Drosophila melanogaster: one gene and its partners. The protein of the gene in region 1 interacts with the protein of each later gene in a pairwise test. Each region holds a gene or a part of one and is shown in the gene's direction. Other genes may lie near its edges.

What was found.
Region 2: the proteins of CG7991 (region 1) and CG5011 interact in a two-hybrid assay, tested with the Drosophila melanogaster proteins (one large-scale study listed by BioGRID).
Region 3: the proteins of CG7991 (region 1) and exp interact in a two-hybrid assay, tested with the Drosophila melanogaster proteins (one large-scale study listed by BioGRID).

What each region holds. Positions count from the first base shown.
Region 1 is NT_037436.4:1,672,837-1,677,708, forward strand, and holds the start of CG7991 (uncharacterized protein), read left to right. Parts: upstream 1-1,872; 5' UTR 1,873-2,285; coding exon 2,286-2,331; intron 2,332-4,872.
Region 2 is NT_033779.5:1,198,931-1,201,786, forward strand, and holds CG5011 (uncharacterized protein), read left to right. Parts: upstream 1-1,740; 5' UTR 1,741-1,929; coding exon 1,930-2,172; 3' UTR 2,173-2,290; downstream 2,291-2,856. Other genes in the region: CG5139 (uncharacterized protein), read right to left, coding at 1-208; CG43348 (uncharacterized protein), read left to right, coding at 520-648; CG43349 (uncharacterized protein), read left to right, coding at 1,310-1,522.
Region 3 is NT_033778.4:11,937,575-11,942,622, forward strand, and holds the start of exp (expansion), read left to right. Parts: upstream 1-1,982; 5' UTR 1,983-2,660; intron 2,661-5,048.

The sequences.
Region 1 (4,872 bases):
TCCGATTGCAACACGGAATTCCATTAGCAGGCTCACACATGACTGCACTCATTGCGTCCATAAATATTTATAACTCACATTTAAATCGCGCAACAAAAGTGCATAATAAGTGGGTTGGTAAGCAAAAACGTATATTTAAATATGAATGTAGTTCCAGTTGTGCAATGAAGATGAAGCCACCATAGTCTAACATCAATTTGGATCATTACCTTTAGTGATTCCAATAATTTGCGCGGCTTTCTGACCTGTCACAAGAAAAATCCCCCAACCGGAGAAAAGCAAAACAAACTATAAACTACAAAATACAAACTACAAACTACCAACAAATGAAATTCGTATTCATATTCCAATTAGACAGTAGAAGAATAGCAGACGGAAAATAGTTAGATGGTATATGGTAAAAAGGTCTTTAATTCCGCCACATAGCCGCATAGGAAATGGGCAAAAGATGGGATGAGGAGGAGCACTTGGCCATGTGGGCGATTGAGAGCAGCAAGCCGTGCAGCACACTGAACGAAAATAAGATCGGGTTAAGAATGAAATATGATTAGGTTAAGTGCTCACAGCAAAGAAATGTATCTACAGAGAAATTATTTCAACATGAATCCCAAACTATAAATATGACAATCTTAATTTGAAGATAGCTTGTAATAATCAAAGCGATTTTCCGTGTATAGAAGATATGGAAGTCGAAAAGAAGTTGTTTATGTTAATTTGGCTTTATGCTTCGCTACGCTGATTCGCTTGATGAACATATAGCAAAAAAGAGGGCTGATTATGAGGACGACGACGACGACGACGACGATGACGATGATGATGAGGGGGCCCAAACCGAGCGAATATGGCCAAGTGCACTATGTCAAACGGAGGGGCACACGGCAAGCGGGCAACTGATGGCCAAGAAGAACAAACCATCAAACCGTCAACGCATCAAAGCGTTAAGTAATAAATGTGCAGGCAGCCAGCGAAAAGAAAGAGTTAAGAGCAAAAAAAAAAAAACAAATCCAAGCGGGCTATAAACAATAGTCGCCTGTCTTGCAGGTTGCGTGCATTTTGAACTCTGCACGAGCCAACGATCGTTGTTGTTGGCCGATTTGGCCAGACTCTTGTTGTTGCTGTTACACATTTTGGGGGCAGCAACAACCACCTACAGTCAGCGAAATTCAGTGAACCGCCACCAACGCGACGCCAACTGCGACGCCGGCGGCGACTGCGCAGTCAGCGCCACACTGAATTACATCTTTGAGGTGTTGAAAAATATTAATAATATTTTAAAATTACACTTTAAGTTTAAGACTCAGTTCTGTGATAGCTTTTTAATGGACTAACCCAGCTTGTAAGCAAGCTGATACCACTGATGTAACTACCTTTTAACTCCAGCCAGTTGTTAGCCATGTTTGTCCAGTGTTTGTGAGATAATTAATAATTTTGTCGCCAGCCCGCAAGAAACGAGTCTGCGGAGTGGACCCTGTTTTGAAAAGTGAAATAAAACGCCACTTTTTACGAACATCTAATTGTGTCCGCACCCTGGAAACCCATAAAACGCGCCATCTCCATCTCGATCCAGCCCATGGGCTGGCTATTAGCCATATGTCGCTCGCATTCAGATCGTCTGGGCTTCTTACACCTGTTTTATGTCCCCACTGGCCCCAATGTGCGACGACTGCCCCTTTCGGAGCGTCGACTGCGCCGCCCGGCGTTTCGGTGTAACACATTTTCAGTTCGTTTCCATTGTGGCAGGGAGCGCGGAAGACCAGCGAGCCAGCGAGCCAGCGCGCCAGACGAGAAGAGCTGGCGGCAGAGCGAGCTCAAGTCGAGCTCGGAGGTTTTTTTTCGAGGCAGCGGAGCGACTTTTTATTCGTTAATTAACCGTCGAGCGGGCCAGAAGTCCGAGTTGCTCGGCTTAACGGAAGTGCTGAAATCGGGCGGCTAATTGAGCACACCTCGCCTCCAGTTGACACCTGAGACACCTGAGGGAAAAAACGAATTGAAACCACTCCACATAGCTCGGGTCATAACTTTCCTCGCTGGCCGGCTGCTAATGTCTCAATTTGTTGTGCGCGTTGGGCAAGTGCAGTTGCCATTCAGCCGTGGCTGTATCTGAAAGATACAATTCGGGAGAGCTCGGTTCCTGAGTGATTCGAAGTTTATGCTAATCAGCTGTGTTGCTCCGCGAGAGGGATCATTTCGCCATAGACCCACACCCGCATAGCCAGTGATCACATAACGAAATAACGAAACCAATCAGCAGACGATCTTATCAGCGCCAAAAGAGGAGGAACACAATGTTGTTTTGGAAGAGGCGTCTTCAGCGATCGAGCAGCTCTTCGAGTAAGTCCCCGTTTCTATATGGCCAAGTTTGTGGGAATGGTGGTAATGGGGGACGGGGGACGGGACCACGCCTCCAACGATTGGGCAACAAGAAATATGATTTCGCCGGGCAGGTGAATTTCGATTTTCGGTCCAGTGACAAGCTCGAATATTTTGGCCTCGACTCATCTGCATAATTTGCATCTTAAGCATTATTTCTGGCTGTGCCCAGCGACTGGTTTATTGATTTTATTTCAGTGCTTCCCTGGCCAAGATCGTAAATTCACCCCGCTGGGCTTCATCACCCACAAAAGACTTGGACAAATACAAATGGGAGCGCGAGCCACGCGGGACATGAATAATAGCTCATATCTGGCCATCGAAATTCTCGCCGAGGTGTTCCCTTTGTGGATGACGATTGCCCAGAGATTTATGAATGGATTTAATGTGTTTAGCATAATTATGCAGATCGCCGTGTAGAAGATAATATCTCACTAGGTTTGGTTTCAAGCGTAAACACTTGGGATGGAAGTGGAAAGATTTGACACATTCACGATCAGTCGGATAAAGATTTGATGGTCTTAAGGGGCTTGGGAAGAATGGGTTTACTAACCAATATGATTATAGTGTGGTCAACACATTGTACCCTAATCCCCCACTTGAATCCCTCTCCTTCCTTTGAAAACCCATGGCCCGCAGTCAGGTGTCATAACAGATTTGTCCCGATGGCCAACAAGGTGGCCAACTGCTATCGAGCATCGCATTGAAAACTGTCCCTTTTCCCCACATTCCTGTGGTTACTCTTCGTCTTCTCCCATCCCATCCCATCTGCTCCATAACTTTCCAACCAAGTGCCGACTATGTGTCTCATTCGCTGTATCTCAGTTCTGAGCTCTCGGGGTTTATTTGGGATCAAAAACATGACTTTGACTTGTGGTAATGTGATGTTAATGACAATCATCAGCAGCGACACAAGCAATAACAACGCAGGCAGAACGAGGAGGAGCAGGAGTAGGAGTAGGTGACATCCACACCACCGCCACATGAAAGCAGTAGTCCCAGTAGTGGGTAGCCCCGCCTCCTGAGCCGCGGAGCACGCCTAACACGATTCCGGAGATCGGACATCTCTGCCAGCGACATTTATTTTATGTGCGTTCCGTTCCCGAAAGTCGTGGCCCATAATCGGCTTACCCAGAGTTCTTGGCTCTACCATACCGCAGTTGACACTTCTGGCTATTTGGTTCGCTTAGTTCGTGCCCGGAGTCTTCTGTTTTTATAGAAGCTGCCCATCAAGTTGCAGGTTTAATGGTCGCTTGTGGCCCAGTGCCGCATCGAAAAATGAGTTCGGCGTTTTGTTGTGACATTTTAATGGCCTGACCGAGCTCCATTCCCCACCGCCGAGATGGTTATCAATATTACAAAATAGTTTTCGGCTTTCGGTGGAAGCGTGCTGGATGGGATTGGAATGGTAAACAGTGTCTGGAGAATTATCTGAAACCTAAGACGATGAGCAAGGTGGAACAATTTAAATTACCATAAATCAAAACCCACAGATATACTGTGTAAGAAGTGTAGAAACATAAGTTCCAATTGAGAGTTTCTCACCGAGTTTAGTCGAGCTCTATTTGGGGCACTCCATTTGCAAGTGGCTTAATTCCCATAAATTCCGTTTGTAGATCTTTCACTTGACCGGACTGCGTCCCCCTTTGAGACCCACTTAGCCCACATCTTTGGGTCAGTCCTACACTTTCCGCGCATTCCACGAGCTCGGACCTCGAAAATTGTCTGCAAATTGCTCATAAATTACATGAAAACCGTCGCAATGCCAAAAGCTGCACCTACACCATCATTATCAGCTTGTAAATAAAAAGACTTTATCAATCGTTAAGCCGCGGGCGCAGACTCGCCATCCGGAGCCCGCGTCCGGGATCCAAGATCTCACCTCATAACATAACATAAAAGTCGTCCGGGTGGAAGGAGATGAGATGAAGATGGAGCGAAGGTGGATGCCCATTCCCATTCCCAATCCCATTCCCATCCTCATTCCAGGGCAAAACCCTGGCTCCGCTGCGGTCAAGTACAAATATTTTTATTTATGATTTTACAGATCAGCATATTGCTCAATAATTTCACCGCACCGGCAACAAAATAACTTTCAAATTACGCCTGCCGAGGATCCTCGCTTAAGTGCGCCAATTTTGAGATTATTATTGCCGGCTGCGTATGCAGATAATCGTGACCCAAAGTGCAGGAGGATGGGGTGCCCATAACTCAGCCGGTTCAGCTGGGAATCGGGAATGAGCTGGAATGATCCTCGACCAGCAAGGACTAGTGGATTGAAGCTGGTCAGCCACCGATTTAATTACTCTATTTGGCTAGTTTTTTGGGGTCGAATTTAGGTTGTCTGCGCTAGTTGGGATCTGGATTTGGATCTGGATGTGGAGTATTTGGGGCAGCTTAATATTTTCCCATAAATTACTCGGGGCCAGGAGAAAATTACTTTAAAATTTATGGCCCCGGCATCTTACACGCTGATTTGGCCCTTTTATTTTCGGCTGGCCG
Region 2 (2,856 bases), on another chromosome or scaffold:
CCACCCTCCTTTTCTTGGCAGGATTGGGTGCTGTAATGGCACCTTGGATCTCCGCCTCGAAGGATTCCTGGCGCCTGGAGGCCTTGCTCTTCAAGGCCGAAACCGTTTTGTATCGGTTCTGGATATCGGTAATGTTTCTCAAGGTCTGCTTAAAAGCAACCTCGACTTGCTCGACTTCCTGCAGCGTATTCCACAGATTCTTTTCCATAATTTGTTCACGAGAAAATTTTATACAATAAAAAATTTGAATACAAGAATGCACACTCCTCCCACTTCAAAAGATCATACGAATATACAAATCCTGTTCGATTGAAAAATCAGGGAAGCTAGATGTGTGATTTTCTCGTTGCGTTGTCATAGGGAAATTCCGATATGACCACCAAGTACTCACCTTATCGCAAAACAGGCTGATAAAATGTTTTAATGGGAAAACCAATGCCTCCAGCAGTCTTTCGTCACTATATATAGCGTGGAAATCGGGGTAATACTTTAGTTCAGAACGGAAATCGCTTTGGAAACATGCCACCACCACCGCACCAGCCCCACCAACCGCACCCACCGAAGGGTCCTGCGCATCCTGGGGATCACCAACCAGGACCGCATCCCCCTCACCACGGAGATCCGAAGCCCCATCACGGACATCACTAGGCCCATGGACAAGGACTATAAATAAGATTCAATTTTATACAGAACAAAACAAGATGGATACTTTTTAGGGAACTTAGTTTCTAATAGAAAGTCTTAAAAACTCTTCAAACCAAAGAAATAAAAGCCTGTACAAAATACATAGCTCTACTCTTTTCTATATCTTCAATGTTTATGATCTTGAATTGGTGATACTGCTTAATGCATTCTAAGCTTCCATTAATTTGAACAAAGCATACATATGATTTGAAGATCTAAATGCTTTTTAAATTATAATACACGTCCTAAGTGCAACGTACTAAGCTTAAGAATTTGTTGCTGATTGTTGCTGATTGTTGCTTACAAAAATAAAATATTATAACATCTCCATATTGTTGTACTTATGAACTACATGCAAAGTCGTCATTAACTTATTCTTTAAGTCACATATAGACATATCAGTAAACAATTCGCTTGTTTGTTATTACTAATTTCGAATGTCATACATTTGTTTTTATTGAGCGAAGTGTTGTTGTGGGAAAACCCGAAACTTACTTATCAACCGAACTGGGCTCGTCTTATCTGAAATTTAGATAAGATTACAACGTATTCGAATCATTTTCCTATAAATGGTTTGACAGGATAGGCTTTAGCTTAGTACTCAACTAAAGTCAGAAAAGTCAAGATGCCACCTCCACCGCACCACGACCACCACCATCATCATGGGCCACCACACCATGGACCTCCCCACCATGGGCCACCGCACCATGGTCCTCCACACCACGGGCCACCGCATCACGGGCCACCACACCACGGACCGCCGCACCATGGACCTCCGCACCACGACCACCATCATCATGGACCACCACACCACGGTCCTCCAATGCATCCTCGATGAGAACTATAATACAATATAAGCCGAATTTAACGTTATAAACTGATATGGAAAAACTTAATCGTTAACTGTGATTAAGCCACAAACTAACATTAAAATATCTTCACTAACTTCTAGTTAGTTTCACCAAGAGCAAAATGTTTTTATTTTAGAAATTGTTTAATTTTATAACACCATTATAAAGATACTGATTCTAATAAGCAATTAGAAGAATATTGAAGCAAGAATTGATTAAGTATGATTAAGTATCAAAAAGCCAGCAGATAAGGTAGACAATTATATATAAAAGAAAGTCCCTCTCCACTAGAATGCAGATAAGATTACAGCCTACTGAAACTATGTTACTTTTGTATAAAAGGTCTGGCAGGAGTGAGCCAGTTTAGTGTACAACAGAAGCCCGCCAAGCAAAGATGCCTCCTCCACCACCGCACCACCACCACAACCCGCCGCCTCATGGGCCACCGCCCCACGGACCACCGCACCATGGACCTCCGCACCATGAACCACAGCCCCCGTTCCACACGCCAGTGCATCCGATTTACCACGAACCTCCTCACGGAAACAGCTCCGGCTACAATCCTCCGCCGCCGCATGGTCCGTATCCATATGGTCCAGGATACGTGGCCCCAGGACCTCCAATGCATCCGCGATAAGAACTGAACTGTAATCTAGATCGGTTAATATAGTGTGATATCAACAAATGTACATTTGTGTGTGATTAAAAAATATGCTGCTTTTAAATATATAAACTAACTTTAGTTAGTCACGCCTATGTGTGATTCAAGTTTTATTACTTGTAGCTTCTATGCCAACAAACAATCCCATTTCGAGTATGATGATATATGCGCCTAATAAGATAAGGACGGTTTTTTGGAATTCCCATAGGACCGTCATAAAGATAATCCATTGAAAAAGTCGTCATTCTTTAGGTGCGTTATGATAGCTTATTTTCGGGTACTATCAAATTCTTGAGGTAACACGTCATTACTAATATTTCACTAGGAAAACAATCAATCAATCAGTCAATCAATCACTGGATTCTTTATTAATACGTGGGCTTATCGTATTAGTCGAATGTCATGAATTCTTAACTGAGCATATCTTTGATTTATTGGCTCTTTTCCATTCCATTTGTTCAAGAATAATATTTTTGTTTTTATTTTGAACGCTGAACTATTAGTAATCATGCATATAAACCTGTTGTAAACCTTATCAATGAGTTACTTCAACTCAACGCTAGATAAAGCTGTGCAATCTTATCGATAGGAAATACGCATTTGCTTACATTAGTCAGAACCTAACTTAGATTGTTGAGGTGATTTTTGGGGTACGCCACT
Region 3 (5,048 bases), on another chromosome or scaffold:
AGGTGCGGCCACTTGAACTTGACTTTAATTGGCTATCGATAAAGTAACAACAATTATGCCAGCACCTGTGGGTTCTCTCCCTTTTTTATGGGCGTCTTTCACTTTGGTCTTTCACTTTTCATTAACGCGACCAATTGATTTTGGAGCCGTTTCGAATGTTATGTAACCCCCGCATACCAGCGATTTTCGATGCCAGCGTTGTCTCATGGTAATTGAATATGGATTACCAAAGTGTAACAAGTGCAAAGCCGTGCGGGCTGCATATTAAGATGTATGAAATGAACAATAACGGTGGAAACTGCTTCGCATTAACAGCAAATGCAAAACGACAGCTACGCCCCCACTTTGCAGTTTCATCAGCTTTTATGATGCCATCCGCGTGACTCGGACTGTCATACCTACGAATGCTACTCCTCTTCAAACGCACTGGAAATGCTCATAATTTGATAATAGCATCAATTAAACTTGATTGCTGGCCGAGACTCTATGCTGGCTCCCATTGTTGTTGGCCGTAATTAGCACCCAAGCGAAATGTTTATACGCCAGTAGTCAAAACTTCTTATTGCCTGGCTATACAAACGGTGTCATTAGTTGGGGATGAGTTATGTATGCGAACCGGAATTTTTTCCTTTTTTTTTTTGGCACGTAATGAAGTCATATTTGCTTAGACAAATTAAATGGGAAACTCTGTGCGCTTCTTATCGATAAACATGCGCAAGAAGAAGCAGCAAGCAGTCGTATCAAAACAAAAGACTTAGGCAACGAACTTGGGCTTGCGTCGACATGAATTTATAATTTTACGCGCTGCGGATTTCAAGACAGCATTCCCAGCATTGTTGCTGGGCCCGTCCGTCATCATCAGCAGCCTCACGATCTTTATTCGCTATATACACAGGCAGTGTATATTTTAAGCACATTTTGAACGCAATAAACAAGGATTTAGTGGTGATATAAAATTTTTAAAAATGTTTGCCTCTAGTTAATCTTCTTCATATCAGTTTAAACAACTATAGTGCTCTGTTTGCGTGATTTATTCAAATTAGTTGCTTGTGCTAGTACATTGTCTTAAAATATTAAGCTATTAAATCGTTGACCCGAATATTTATTATTATTTTCCATAGGGTATTCAAAATTTAAATTCTACCAAAGTGTCTTGTCTTTTGCATTTTACAAGCCCAGCAGAATGGTTTTAATACCATTTCAATTTGATGGAACTAGTGCATTTGCCTCGTGTCACTTTTGGTTGCGCCTGGTGATTTTGCAATTTAATTTCTGCCCGCAAAACGAGTTGCGAAAAAGACTCGGCTAACTCGGACAAGTTCTTGGCTCATGCACTTGTTGCAGCGGTGTTATTTGTATAATGCAGATTTTTAATTGCCTGTCACATAAATTCCAGAGATCTGCGGGCGTTGTAGAACCGCAGGTAGTTTGACATTTCGATTGACCTTCAGAAAGCCATTAGAATAAGAGGCGCATCGGCCATAAAAAACAAATATAAAATCCAGAACCGTTAGGCCTGCCAAAAAATCTCGCCTAAAAGCTTTTAAGTAACGAGTTGATAAATAAAAATTAAAACATTTTGGATAAGCAAAAGAAGAAAAAAACGACAAGAAACATATGCCGATGATGTAATTAAGGTGTAGAAAGCAGGGAGATGAGATTGATGACCACCAAATCTTGCTGGGAATTCAACAAAAATGCAGCCCAAAAGAGCTGCCTAAGAGAGCGCCCATTCGAAGAGCTAGAAATGCGCTCTTGTAGGAACTCTTTTCCAAAAAAGCTTCGCCAAGCTTTTAGACACGCTAAACGCTATTAAGCCAACTTAGCCATGAAGCGACAAGGTAAGAAAAAAAAAAGACAGGTAAAAGAAATACCGAAGCAACGTAACCGAACTTACGGTAAGAAAAAAGGCAGGTAAGGCCGCCAGGTAAGCTCGGCTCTGCCGCCACGAAAGCCCGGCTCTGCTTTTCGCCTTCGATTCTTCAGTCGAGTCGCGAAAGTCGTCGAGTGCGTTTGGTTCGCTGGCTCGTCGGCAGTGCAGCTAAGAAAGAAAAGCAAATCCCCAGCCAATAAAAAATATTATCAAAAAAGAAAACAAACTGAGAAAGAAGAGAAAGAAGCTGCTGGAAAAAAAGGTCGTCATCATCACGAATTTTTGTGCGCGCAGTCTTCGCCGTTATGCAATTGAAGTGCGTTCACAAAATGCCGAGATAGCAACAATTTTGAATTCATTAATTTGCTGGCGAATTAGAAATTTCTGTCGCGCGAGTTTAAAAGACGCATAAATACCCGTGTCCAAATTAAATATTACAATTTATGGCAAACTCGTTTCCACACAGCCCAGCAGCATCGAAAAAGTGAAATTAATAAAGTGAAAAGCAAACGGCAATTGTAGCAAAAAGGCAATTACAAAATCAATATAAATAATAATAGAAAATCATTGTTGCAGCATTGATGAAATATACGTACATACATATACGTAAAGAAATAAACAACAGTTAGGGGCAAGCACTTTTCCTCGTCGTCGCTCTGCGAATACGTAATCATTGGGAAAATATCAGCAATTTTGCAACAGTTTCGTCACAACAACAACAACAACAGCAGCAGCAACAGCAACACCAGCGACTGCAGAAAAAAAACAAAAGTAATTGAGCAGAAAGGTGAGTTCGCAGAGACCAAGAGACACGCATGCAAAGCAGGAAAAAAGTACGAAAAAAGCATGGAAAAACGAAGAGAAACCCTAGCCCTTGCACCTGTTGCGCCTTCCTGGAGGAAAACGCAGTGCTCAGCATCTTTCATTCATAATTGCCCACTTTTTCTTTAACTGTACGGCTGGACTTCCTGCTTACGCACTTTTTTTTTTTTTTTTTGGTCGCTCTGTTTGGTGTTTGCTGTTTGCTACACTTCAGTTTCATTTTCATTTAAATGCGAGCTGAAAACACGGCTTTGGCTCTCAAGGTTGACAACATCTGCGTTTGCTGCTGTGCTTTTCGGCTTCCTCCTCGGATTGCGTATTCATATTTGAATATTATACAATTTGAGACGTCTCAGTTTCGTAAATAGTTCCTTTTTTGCCATCAATTCAAGAGATTAGTGCTGAATTAGCAGCACAATGTCAAGTTAATTTGGGTTCAGCAACTTTTTCTGGCTCTTCATCTCTCAAACTCTTTTTTCTGATACATGTGCACTGAAAAAAGCTGTTGCCATTGTTTTGATGCTTAAAAATTATTAAAGTCTGGCTTATTTAAATCTCATATAAATATATAATATATTAATCTTTGAAATTCTTGTTAAAAGTATTTAGCCTTTTTGACAATTTTATTTTAATTAATGGCCTGATATTAACAAAATGCAAAACACTTGCATGTGACCTTTAAAATATGCCATATATTTTTGGCTTTTATAACCAGTATATTGCCGGCTTTAAGCCAATAAATAAGAATTGTCAATAATTGTTTCAGCACTCATATATATTTGGCAATAAGTAAGAAATAAATGAAACCTCAAATAAATGGCAATTCATTTAAAATCTTAAAAAGGTCTAGTTTCATGTTTCATGATTTTTTTTCGGTTTGAGAACGATTTTTCTCAGTTCACACATAGCCTTGAATAAAACAGATGGATGAGTTTCAGACTGCCAACACGCCTTCGAAAACAAATGCATTTAATACTGAAAACGGGGCGGCCCGAAAAAAAAGCTTAAATTAAAATGTGCAGTAGGTGTTGCCATTCCGATTCCGACTGCGATTGCGAATGCGACAATTGCCCCGACACTTGTATATATATATATATAAATCGTATAGTATATATACACTATACTATATCCGAGCGAAGAGTGAGTGATGAAGAGCTCGAGAGGCAAAGGAAGGAAGTTGCTATCGGCATGAGTTGCAGTTTCATTGGGCTTCGGTTACAGACTCAAATCCAACTTCTCAGCCCATCATCTTTGCAGTTTGTGGGCTTGTGGGAGTCAATTAGTGGGCAAAATTTAAATACATTTAGGTAGATGGTGAGGGGGGGCTGGCATGCCACCCAATTATGCATCCATAAATGTAAACAATCGTCGAAAAGACCCTGTAAAGTGCGGTTCTTCGCCTTAAGAAGAAGAAGAAGAAGAAGGAGAAGAAGTAAGTGCTGAAATCCGTCTAGGCAAAAGTTCACCATGGCCAGAATCTGCAGACAATATAACGTGGCCGAATCGGCTAATGGGAAATGTCAGTCAGTCGGCCGACAACGTTGACTTCATTTACATTTTGGCAAAACAACAAATGAGCTTGCACTAAGCCCCAAAAAAAAAAGGTCGAGCAATAAATTTGTTTTGTAACTCTACCTTTTTAACCAAAAACTAAACCTATTTTCTACTTGGCCAAATTCCAGGAGAATTTGCATTCGACCGCCTAACCGTTCTTTCACTCTCTTTGTGCTTCTGGCCATTTCTTTTCACGCTGTGCGCATATTTCATGAGCTGTCGATGAGTTTGGTTCTATTTGGGTTTATTGAAAGCCATTCCCCCGCCAAATGGGCACCGTTCATTAGCGGGAAAATGGGTTAATCTCATTCAGCGGTCTGCCATACAGTTGCGGTCAAAAAAGTGGCACTGATATATTTGGTTTCTTTGATTGGCTGTAATTCATCTGATTAATTTATCTGCCTAAGTTGTTAAAGAAATTCCTAATAATAGCGAATGACAATGTGTAGATTGTGATATAATCTTTTCCTTGTACGAGCACACCAAAATGTCAAAAGTTTATCTAATAGCTTTAATATCTTTATTGACCCATCTCTAAGATCGCAGTTGTATATAGGTACACGTATCAGAGTTTCCGCACCTTTAAAAGATGCTATAAAAAATGCGCTTTTCAAGTGCGTGCAGTCTGTGATTCAGAAGCTAATTAATCCACAGATGTGGTGGCGCTAACAAAGTGTGAAAGAGAGTCTGATAGGGAGGCACGTGTTGTTGTTTGTCGGCGATTAGCCAGATATTGAGATACAAGCAGATAGATAGATACATATATAGATGCTGGGATGATGGCCTTTAACGCCTCGAC